Kluyveromyces lactis: one gene and its partners. The protein of the gene in region 1 interacts with the protein of each later gene in a pairwise test. Links are inferred from orthologs where the notes say so. Each region holds a gene or a part of one and is shown on either strand. Other genes may lie near its edges.

Evidence for each region.
Region 2: the proteins of ATG17 (region 1) and PRP3 interact in a two-hybrid assay, tested with the Saccharomyces cerevisiae proteins (2 studies listed by BioGRID). The link is inferred for Kluyveromyces lactis from reciprocal best matches to the Saccharomyces cerevisiae genes ATG17 and PRP3.
Region 3: the proteins of ATG17 (region 1) and SNX4 interact in a two-hybrid assay, tested with the Saccharomyces cerevisiae proteins (2 studies listed by BioGRID). The link is inferred for Kluyveromyces lactis from reciprocal best matches to the Saccharomyces cerevisiae genes ATG17 and SNX4.

Annotation. Positions count from the first base shown.
Region 1 is NC_006040.1:231,947-235,209, forward strand, and holds ATG17 (protein kinase regulatory subunit ATG17), read left to right. Parts: upstream 1-1,434; coding exon 1,435-2,706; downstream 2,707-3,263. Other genes in the region: mRNA splicing protein SPP382, read right to left, coding at 1-1,220; threonine--tRNA ligase MST1, read right to left, coding at 2,815-3,263. UniProt on the Saccharomyces cerevisiae protein: Autophagy-specific protein that functions with ATG13, ATG29, and CIS1/ATG31 in response to autophagy-inducing signals as a scaffold to recruit other ATG proteins to organize pre-autophagosomal structure (PAS) formation.
Region 2 is NC_006041.1:826,938-830,174, forward strand, and holds PRP3 (U4/U6-U5 snRNP complex subunit PRP3), read left to right. Parts: upstream 1-1,306; coding exon 1,307-2,581; downstream 2,582-3,237. Other genes in the region: TMA17 (Tma17p), read right to left, coding at 98-580; HSP10 (Hsp10p), read right to left, coding at 2,909-3,226.
Region 3 is NC_006039.1:942,071-945,170, forward strand, and holds SNX4 (Snx4p), read left to right. Parts: upstream 1-1,241; coding exon 1,242-2,444; downstream 2,445-3,100. Other genes in the region: BRE2 (Bre2p), read left to right, coding at 1-911; TAD2 (tRNA(adenine34) deaminase), read right to left, coding at 2,669-3,100. UniProt on the Saccharomyces cerevisiae protein: Sorting nexin, involved in the separation or division of vacuoles throughout the entire life cycle of the cells.

The sequences.
Region 1 (3,263 bases):
TCCCAATTTTTCAAAAACTGCTCGAACTCCAGCAGGATAAGTGCTTTTAATGACTTTAAATCCCTTTCTCCCAAAATGAGATGCAACTCGCCGTATGTCACCATGAATTCATCTGACAGAAATTGAGGAGAAAGTTGTATTTCGAGAGCCGGCATAATGTAGCGGGAAAGGAAGTGTTCCCTGCAGCTAATAAAGTCAATAATAGGTAAATACTGAACGGTTATTTGACGTAGCATCCTCGAATATCCGGTATTTGAATCTAACCAATAACATAAGGGTTGATACACCAACCTATAAATGCTGCTTTGTGTTTCGTTCAAAATATATCCAGATTCCATTCTATATGAAAGAAACCTTATTGCTGCCCTCAAATGGTTCAACTTTTCGACCTGCATATCTGCCGTATTAATTCCACGATTAAGCTCTTTGAGCAAGAACATGGTACAGAGCTTATCAAGTATGTCATCGTCATTTATTTCTAGGCATTCAGTAATCTGATCTTCAAGACTTGGTTGCGAAAGTTGTTTTTCCTTGACTTTTTCTAAAACACTTTGTAGCCTTTCCTCTTGGTGTACTTTGCGCTCGTCATCTAGTTGAGCTTTTTCCAAGCCAACTTGTATTCTATCTATGTCCGAATGAAGCTGCAGAAGCTTATTAGCAATTTCATTCAAAGAGGAAATCTCTTCTTCATGTAATTCAGAACCATTGATTGTTCTTGTCACCGTATCAGGTAGTTCTATTTTTAATTCCGCAAGGAGACTTATATTTTGAATCAATTTCTCAAGCTGGGTGGCACGACGAGTCTTAAACTCCACTGTTTTCTTTTTATTTGAACTTTCATCTGATGATGCTGAAGTATTACTATAGTTGGAGTCATCTCTATCATGTACTGCACTTAACATCCCTAATCCGACACCTTTAGGACGAGTGACTGTTTCGATTGGGTTCACTATACCTTTCCCATCTCGTCCTAAACCTTCACCTTGTTTGTAACCCATTTTTGATAAAAGCTTGGCACCCATACCATAGGTCTTTAACATCTGGTCGCTTTTCAATCCATCATTGGAGTTGGCTTGTCGTACCGGTTCATAGTCTTCTTCTTCTTTTTGTTCTTCATTGTCATCGCTATATCCATATGGATCGGTAAATACCATACTATTCATTGTCATACTGATCTTTCTTCTTTTGAACTGATCATCGTCACTGATATGTTCTGACATCTATACTGAATCACTGGAGTAGTAATAGCTGACTTGGAGTGACTGATACTCCTTTCAATCTTTACTCCGATTAATAGGTATTTATTCATACTTTGAAAAGATTTAAAGGTTTGAAGTTCAGTCTTCGAAGTGAAATTGACCGTTTAAGGGTTTCAAATTGGAAACGTTGAAGAGATGAAGATCTTTCGGTTGATCTGAACTGCGTCTACAAGAAATGAGTGATGCTGCAACTACTATACCCAGTGATGAGATAGATAAATTGTGGAATAAGGCGAGAAACCAGCTTGTGGAAGCTCAAGTCGAATGTGAAGAATCATTAAAAATCCTCTCTAAAGTGCGAACTGAAATGGACAGCTCTCAAAAGTCCAGATTTAAACTTAAATTTATACTTAATTGTTTGGTGAACCAGGTTGAGTTCTTCAAGAATATCATGCTCGAGAAATGTATTTCTACAGAGTTGATTGACAATGAATGGTCAAAGCTGGTTTTAGTCGAGATAGTCAATGACGTGAGTTATTGGCAAAACGAGATAACAACAAAGATGAAGATCTTGCAGGGTACAAAATACGACTTGACTGACGATCACAGTAGCCTTTCAGATTTCATATGCATGGATCACGTAGACATACTACAACAAAAAATCGATGAGATTCCTATTATAAAACAACAAGTGACAAACATACGACAACACTACAAATCGATAAAAGATCGAATAGAAAACCAACTAGTGGCTGTAAAGTTGAAAAAACTCAGAACTTACTTTGATTCACATTTCAGCAGGGATAGCAAAAATAATCTATTCAAATTGTTGGAAAGTGATTATGTCACTGAATTGAACGAATTTGAGAATGAACTTGCCGATTTCTTGAGATCAATCACTGATCATTTCGACAAATGCACGATATTGAAGGAACAGCAGATTCCACTACCAGATTTGAAGGAACTTTTCCAGATTGTAAAGAAAGACGATACACAGTTAGAAAATATAAGGGAATTAGTATTCGAAACGGGACTTGAAGTGAAAGCTTTCTCAAAGAAAGTCAATGAAACAATAAGTGAAATAATGGACAAAATTGGTGGATTCCATCTGCTGGCTTCCAAGATTGTGACAGAGTTAGAAAAATGTGAGGAATACTTATCTATCTTCCAAAAGATTGCTAATTTAGTATTCGTTTATAAGGAATCTTGCATAAAAAAGATTGAACAAGTGCAACAACTCTGTGAGTTTTACGATAAGTTCAAATTAGGGTATAAAAACCTTCTACGAGAAAGAGACAGACGGAAAGCCACTGCGTTACAAATGGAGAAAATATTAAAGGAATGTCAGGAGAAACTACAGGCACTGAGTGATGCTGACTTGGACCAACGCCAGCAATTTTTACTTGAAAATGGTGACTATCTTCCCGAAAACATCTGGCCAGGTTATATCGACGATATGGAATCGATGTATAGTTTCGAATATAGCATACATAATGTACCGAATTGACGGTATTGTGTTATTATTGATACATAAGTATACATATTTACAGGTATAAATTATCTTTTACATCGTTATGGTTAACATTACTTTCTGTGGTTCAAAAATTGCAAGGTATCATTTATAATTTTTCTCAAGATCGACGAACCTTTCAAAGACATCATCGATAGTTAGTAAATCCACTTTCTTCGACTCCCTGGTTCTAATCGCCACCTTGCCTGCTTCAACTTCTTTGTCACCAATCATTATAATATAAGAATAATGCTTCTTGATGGCTTCTCTAATTCTTTTACTTACAGATTCATCTCTTGCATCCATATCAACAGAGAAATGGAAGCTGTTGAGTGGAATTGGGCTTTTTGGATCACTATTTTCACCACGTAATGAGTTGACTGTCTTGAAAGCCAATTCCATTATCTTCTCATCTTCAGTCTTCACTGGGATGACCATACATTGGTTTGGATTCAACCAAAACGGCCATTTACCTTTGCTTGAATCAATTAAAATGGCCATGAATCTTTCCACCGAACCGAAAACAGCCCTATGAATCATGATAGGTCTCTTGT
Region 2 (3,237 bases), on another chromosome or scaffold:
GCCCACACTTTTAAACATGCATTTTTGCTTTCATTCATTTTTTTTTTACTATACTTCAATATATGAGTACATTATATATATTTTGTTTGGAATGGGTTCATAAGTTAATGCTATTGGAACCAGTGGCATCAGCAGTATTATCTGAATCCACGCCAACGGTTCTCCGGCCTTGAGATTGCAAAGATCTTTTTAATTTTGTGGACGCCGATTGGATGTCACCGGAAGATACAGTGCTAGCCCTGTGCTGTTCTTCTAGGTCCAAAGCTTGTAGCCTTTCGTTATAATTATCCAATACTTTTCCATTTTCCGCTAATGAGTCTTGGAATACTTGCAAATCCTTCTCATCAATATCATCATCGGAAAAATTCCCTTCCGCGTCCAATTCTTGTCTGTTCAATACCTCTTCACCCTTAAGCTTGGCAACGTACGCTTCTAACCTTCTGTTAGATCTTTGTAAATGCTTCACTGCATTATTGATCTCTTTTCTGATCTCTTGTAATTCATGCTCAGACGATTCTCTAATAGCAATCACGAACTCTTGAATCTGAATTGGTCTACGAATACCAGAAGAATGTGCCATATTTCTATGTTAAGTCTATCCTTAGCTATGTATGTTTTTTCACTTTTTAGTCTTGTTTCGGTTGGAAAGTACGAGATGAATTAAGATCGGTATCCTTAACTATATATTCAAGCTAGCCTTTTATAACAATAATTTAAGCCAGAGTTTATTCTCTTACTATTTATACCCAACGGTAAGATATCACGCCCCACATATGACACCCACCCCTCCGAGGCACCATCATTGCAAATCAGAGTGTATGATGCGCACGTTACTATGCTGACTTTTTCCAGCTCCAAAGCAACACTACTTGTTAAAAATCACATCAGCTTTTCTGCTTTCCTTTCTCCTGGGCTGGATTTCCCCGCCTAAGTCCTTCTCTGGGAACTGAACTTTGTCCCTTTCAGCAAAGAGTTGAGAAACTCACGAGGAACACAAAAACAACGAGAATTAGGGGCCGCTTATGTAATTCTTTTCATCCCATAAAACAGAAAAATTGTGCTGTTTTGGCTTCCACCCATACACTACGCACAATCAGGGGTTGGTGCAATTTCGGATATATTACCCGGGCATGGTGAATTTCATCATAGGCGTTACAGAGTGAAGATGTGATTCAGATTCTATATGAGAGAGAGTTCATTGCGATGCTAGAGAAGAGATGGACAAAAGACAAATGGTGATGTGTAATAGTAACTACGGATTGTCTGGAATAATCGGCCCTTTGTACAAAAATCATATCATCATATAATGGGCAATGATAATAATACTAATAGAGGGTTAAATCGGAAATTGCATTCTGCATTGAGTGTTGAGAATGTCAATTTATTGAGATTTCAAGGTAGACGTTGTGGAAACCCATACTTGCAAGACGTACAGGCTCATGGTTTTGAGCCAAAGGCAAGAGTATCGTCTCATTGGTATGAACCGGGAGAGGTTGTCCAGCATGCTGCAAAATTAAGACAAGAGAACCGTGAAAAGTCTGAAGAAGAAAGAATACGATGGGAAGCTGAACTGGAGAAACAGCAGGAAATCGAACGGAAAATAGAAATAGGGGAACTACCTGATAAGCATGAAGAAGTTTATTTTACCGATTTATCGGACGTTCCTGATGTGGAATGGTGGGATGTTCCATATATCAAAGATGGTAGCATCCATGAGAAATATAGTTTGGATTATTCCACATTGAATTCGGACGATGAAAGTGATGATGAAGAGGAAGAGGAAGAGGAAGGTGCACAAGATAAATTCCCAAGTATTAGGTATATTCAACATCCGGTACCGATTGAAAGGCCTAGGGCAGCTGTTCCAGTGGCAGAGATTTTCTTAACGAAAAACGAACGGAAAAAGGCCAGAAGGAATACGAGGAAGTTGGTACGACAGGAGAAGGAGGAGAAAATCAAGCTTGGTATAGAACCAAAACCAGAGCCCAAGGTTAAATTATCGAATATGATGAATGTGTATGAGAATGATGCCAATATTGCGGATCCAACTCAATGGGAATCCATCGTACGGAGACAAGTGGCAGAGAGGAAAAGGAAACATTTCGAAGAAAATGAAATAAGGCATCAAGAAAGCCTGAAACGAAGGAAGGAATCCCAGTTACAAGCACACAGCAATGATAGTCCTCTAGAATACACGTGTGTTGTTTACATGTTTGACGAAATACAGAATCCTAGTATCAGATACAAAATCAAAACCAACGGTAAGCAATTGAAGTTGAAAGGATGCTGTCTACACATTCAAAATGGCAAAGGTATAATTGTAGCTTTTGGAGATGAAAAATCTATCCGCTTTTTCGATAAGTTGGTGACAAAGCGAATCAATTGGTCGGAACCATACAAAGATAGAGATACCGAAGAGACAGTACCTTGCGACGGTAAAATTACAAAGGTTTGGCAAGGATTAATTGGTGATTGTAGATTCAAGGGCTGGTTCATGCTCGATTGTAAAGATAAAAACCAGTTAAATAATATCTTAGAGCAGCACGATGCATTGACTTTTGTACCATTAGGTAAGTTTTAACAAACAATTACGTACTGAAAATGAAATCCAAGTTCGAAATCATCAAAATTTTGGAATAAAAGTAATAGTGTATGTTAAAAAAAATAAAACCGGAGTAAATCCAACGACCTACTTAGAACATTTATTTACATGGGGTGAGTAGGCAGTCCAAGTGACGCACAATGGTCAACATTATTGAGTTTTATCACTACCAACATCAAAAAAAAGTCATATTTATATAAATAATATCTCCCTTCGTCTCTCAAAATTCAATCATCAATAACAGAGAAAGATACTGGCTCATAACATCGTTCTTTAAATTTAATTCTGGTGTAACGTTCGAGACCTTTATTCGACGACCTTGGCCAAGATTTCAGAGTCTCTGAATAAAACGACTTCATCATCCTTGCCCAACTTGATTGTGGATCCACCGAATTGTGGGATCAAAACTTGGTCACCTGGTTGGACAGATGGTGTAATCTTGTTACCGTTGGAATCGGTGAAACCTGGACCAGCAGCCAACACAGTAGCTTGGTTTAATTTCTCAACGTTCTTTTCTGGCAAGTATAAACCAGAAGCAGTCTTGGCTTCGGCCTTGATTCTTTGCACCAGAACACGGTCCAACAATGGAACAATAGATTTAGCAGACTTCAATAGAGTGGACATTTTGACCTATT
Region 3 (3,100 bases), on another chromosome or scaffold:
GCGGGTGGAGGAGCGTTAGAAGCGACGTTTGTATGAAAGAAGGAAAAATATACTGGGAAGTGGAGGTGAAAAACGTTTCTGATACATCACACATCAGATGCGGGATAAGCAGAAGAGAGGCATCAACAGAAACTCCAGTCGGATGTGATTTTTACGGTTATAGCATTAGAGATAAAGGATTGCAAGTTATTCACGAAGGCCGCTTGCATACAGTTTTGAAACCACACGAGATGCAAGCAGGTGATAGAATCGGATTTCTACTGACTTTACCTTCCCTGCAGTCTCAAAGCGAGCAAGCCATGGATTATAGTTTAAAACGAATCCAAGAGCTAAACAACGACGACAGCCGCACCAACAAAAGGAATAAGAAATTCAATAAGGAATTCTACAAGTTTTTACTGCGTTCATGCGAGCCAACGAATGTAGTTAGAGATCAAATTGCCATCAGATATAAAAATCAATTGTTTTACGAAAGTACCGATTATGTCAAAACTACAAAACCGGAATATTATGACAACAGGGACGACATGCAAAAGTTTTACGAACTTGAAAACTCGAGCTTCGAAGTTTTCGTAAATGGTGTTTCCCATGGAATAGCTTTCGAAGGCCTTACACCATTCTTACCTCCGTTCAGCGAATTGCAGTACAATGAGAAGTTTTATTTGCATCATTGGAATAAACGTAATGTCACGAAGGGGATCGAAATAAGAAATAAATACGTAAACAACAACAGGCTAGGTTATTATGCCACTTTGAGTTCATTCCAGGGAGGCACTGCATCGATCATAACAGAAGCCATGGAACTCAAGTTTCTACCGAAAGATGTAGATATCAAAACTCTGAATGATATCTACAATGAGCAGATCGCAAGTGATATTGTATGGGACTTAATAGACGAAATTGATACATAAAATAGAAAAAGAATCTTTCTAAATACTCATTTATAGAGAACGTAACCGTAAATTAACATTATAGTTCTCCAAAGCTTAGCACTCCAATGTGTTGGACCAACTAGCACCGTGAAAACATTTCGACCGAATAGTTCATGGTTATAAAGAACTTAAACTATCCTTATACCTTATATTGAGTTGTTACCTTAAAAATAAAAAAAAATAGTTGGAAACACAGTAAACCAGAAGAACTTCATATGATAGAAAAGGGATCACTAAATAGAAGGTAAAACACTGTACAAGAAGCCGTCATATACTGACGCCAGCAATACGAATAATATCTCATGCAATATGAGTGAATCAGGAACTTTGACAAATAAAGAATCAGATACTAAAATATTAAGTGTGCTGGTGTCTGATCCTCAGAAACAGAAAACGCATTCGCAGACATATATCACCTATCAAGTATCCACGAAAATAGATGGCAAAGATGAACCGAATTGTGTGGTGAGGAGGTACAATGATTTTGTACTCCTACATCAAATATTGATAAACGATCATCCTGCACTGCTTGTTCCTCCATTACCCGATAAGAAAGTCCTAAATTATCTTTCAGGGGATAGATTCTCACATTCTTTTACTCAGAAACGTTGTCGTTCTCTTCAAACGTTCATGCGCAGGTTGTTGAGTCACTCAGAGCTTTCCAAATCCAGGATTTTGGAAACGTTTTTGACCAGCACAGATTGGGATGTTTATAGAAGGAGTTTGACGGGGCAAATTTCCACTTCTGAAGTTAGTGATGTTTTGATAAACGCTTTCAAACACGTAAACAGACAAAGGGATGAGTTTGTCGAGATTAAGGAAAAGAGCGAAAAGTTAGACCATAATTTGAGCCATTTGGACAAGCTATTCCATAAATCTGTGAAAAGAGTTGATCTGATCGGACAGAATTTGAAGAAATTACAATCCTCTTTATCAGGATTACAAGAACTTTGCTGCGATGAAAAGGAGCTATCAAACAGTATCAAAGCCTTTAACGATGGAACGATGCAATTGATAGATTCATTAAATGATTTGAACAAATACGTTGACTATGAGTATAACGTTGATATTAAAGATATGATAAACTATATCGAGGCATTGAAACAACTAATAAGGCTGAAAGATCAAAAACAAATAGATTACGAGGAGCTATCAGAGTATCTAACGCGATCCATAAATGAGAAGAATAATTTACTTTCTGGCTATGGGTCAGGAAATTATTTCAAGAGTAAACTGGAAGAACTAGCTGGTATCAATCAAGAAATGGCAAGAAGAGATAAGATAGCGAAATTAGAGACCAGAGTTCAATCTTTAACGGACGAAGTCGAAAAATCAAAACAAGTCGCTGATGAATTTGAGAAAGAGGTTCTCAAAGAGGTCGAACAGTTTGAACAAATAAAAACTTTGGAATTGAAAGATTCGTTAGCTGCTTTGGCTCAAAAACATATTGATTTTTATGATGATATGGTGGAGAAGTGGTCGAAGATCGAAGAACGTCTCGAAAGCGCCTGACGGCTGGATTTTTTTTTGAAGCCTCTCACTGTGTTTCAAAACACTACAAAGGCTTCGTAACAATTACGTAGAGACATCGATTAATAAGTTTGTACTTTTGTTTCAGTATTTATGACTATCTAGCTATCTTTATGCAATGAAAAAAAAAACGAAAACCAGAAAGAGAGTACATCCATCATGTTGTGAGCATCACTAAAACTTGGAATTGTTTAATTGTGTCAAACTCAATAAGTACAATTAACACTCTGCACCTGTTCAATCAGGTCATGCAAAAAACTTTCATCGCAGCCAGTATCTATGAGATCCCAATCAATTTCATCGTAGACGTCTCTATGCGAATAAAATGCATCTCTAAACTCCTGGCCAAATTCATCTTCAAACTCTTCGAGCGTTAAATACTTATCCCATTGTAGTGGAGGGAAGGTCTCTTTATCCAGTTTTCTATCTTTCTTTGTTCGTGGTTTGGGTGCCCTATCATTTTCTCTAACATAAAAGTAACGTAGAAGCATTATAGCTTCTCTGCGCAAAACGCCGGGGATGCTCACATATTTATTAGATTTATTTGTAGATGTATCATTATGAATGCATAATATAGATCCATTCCCACCAAATCTTTCATTTCCGCAACCAAATACTACCTTCTTGATACCCAACTG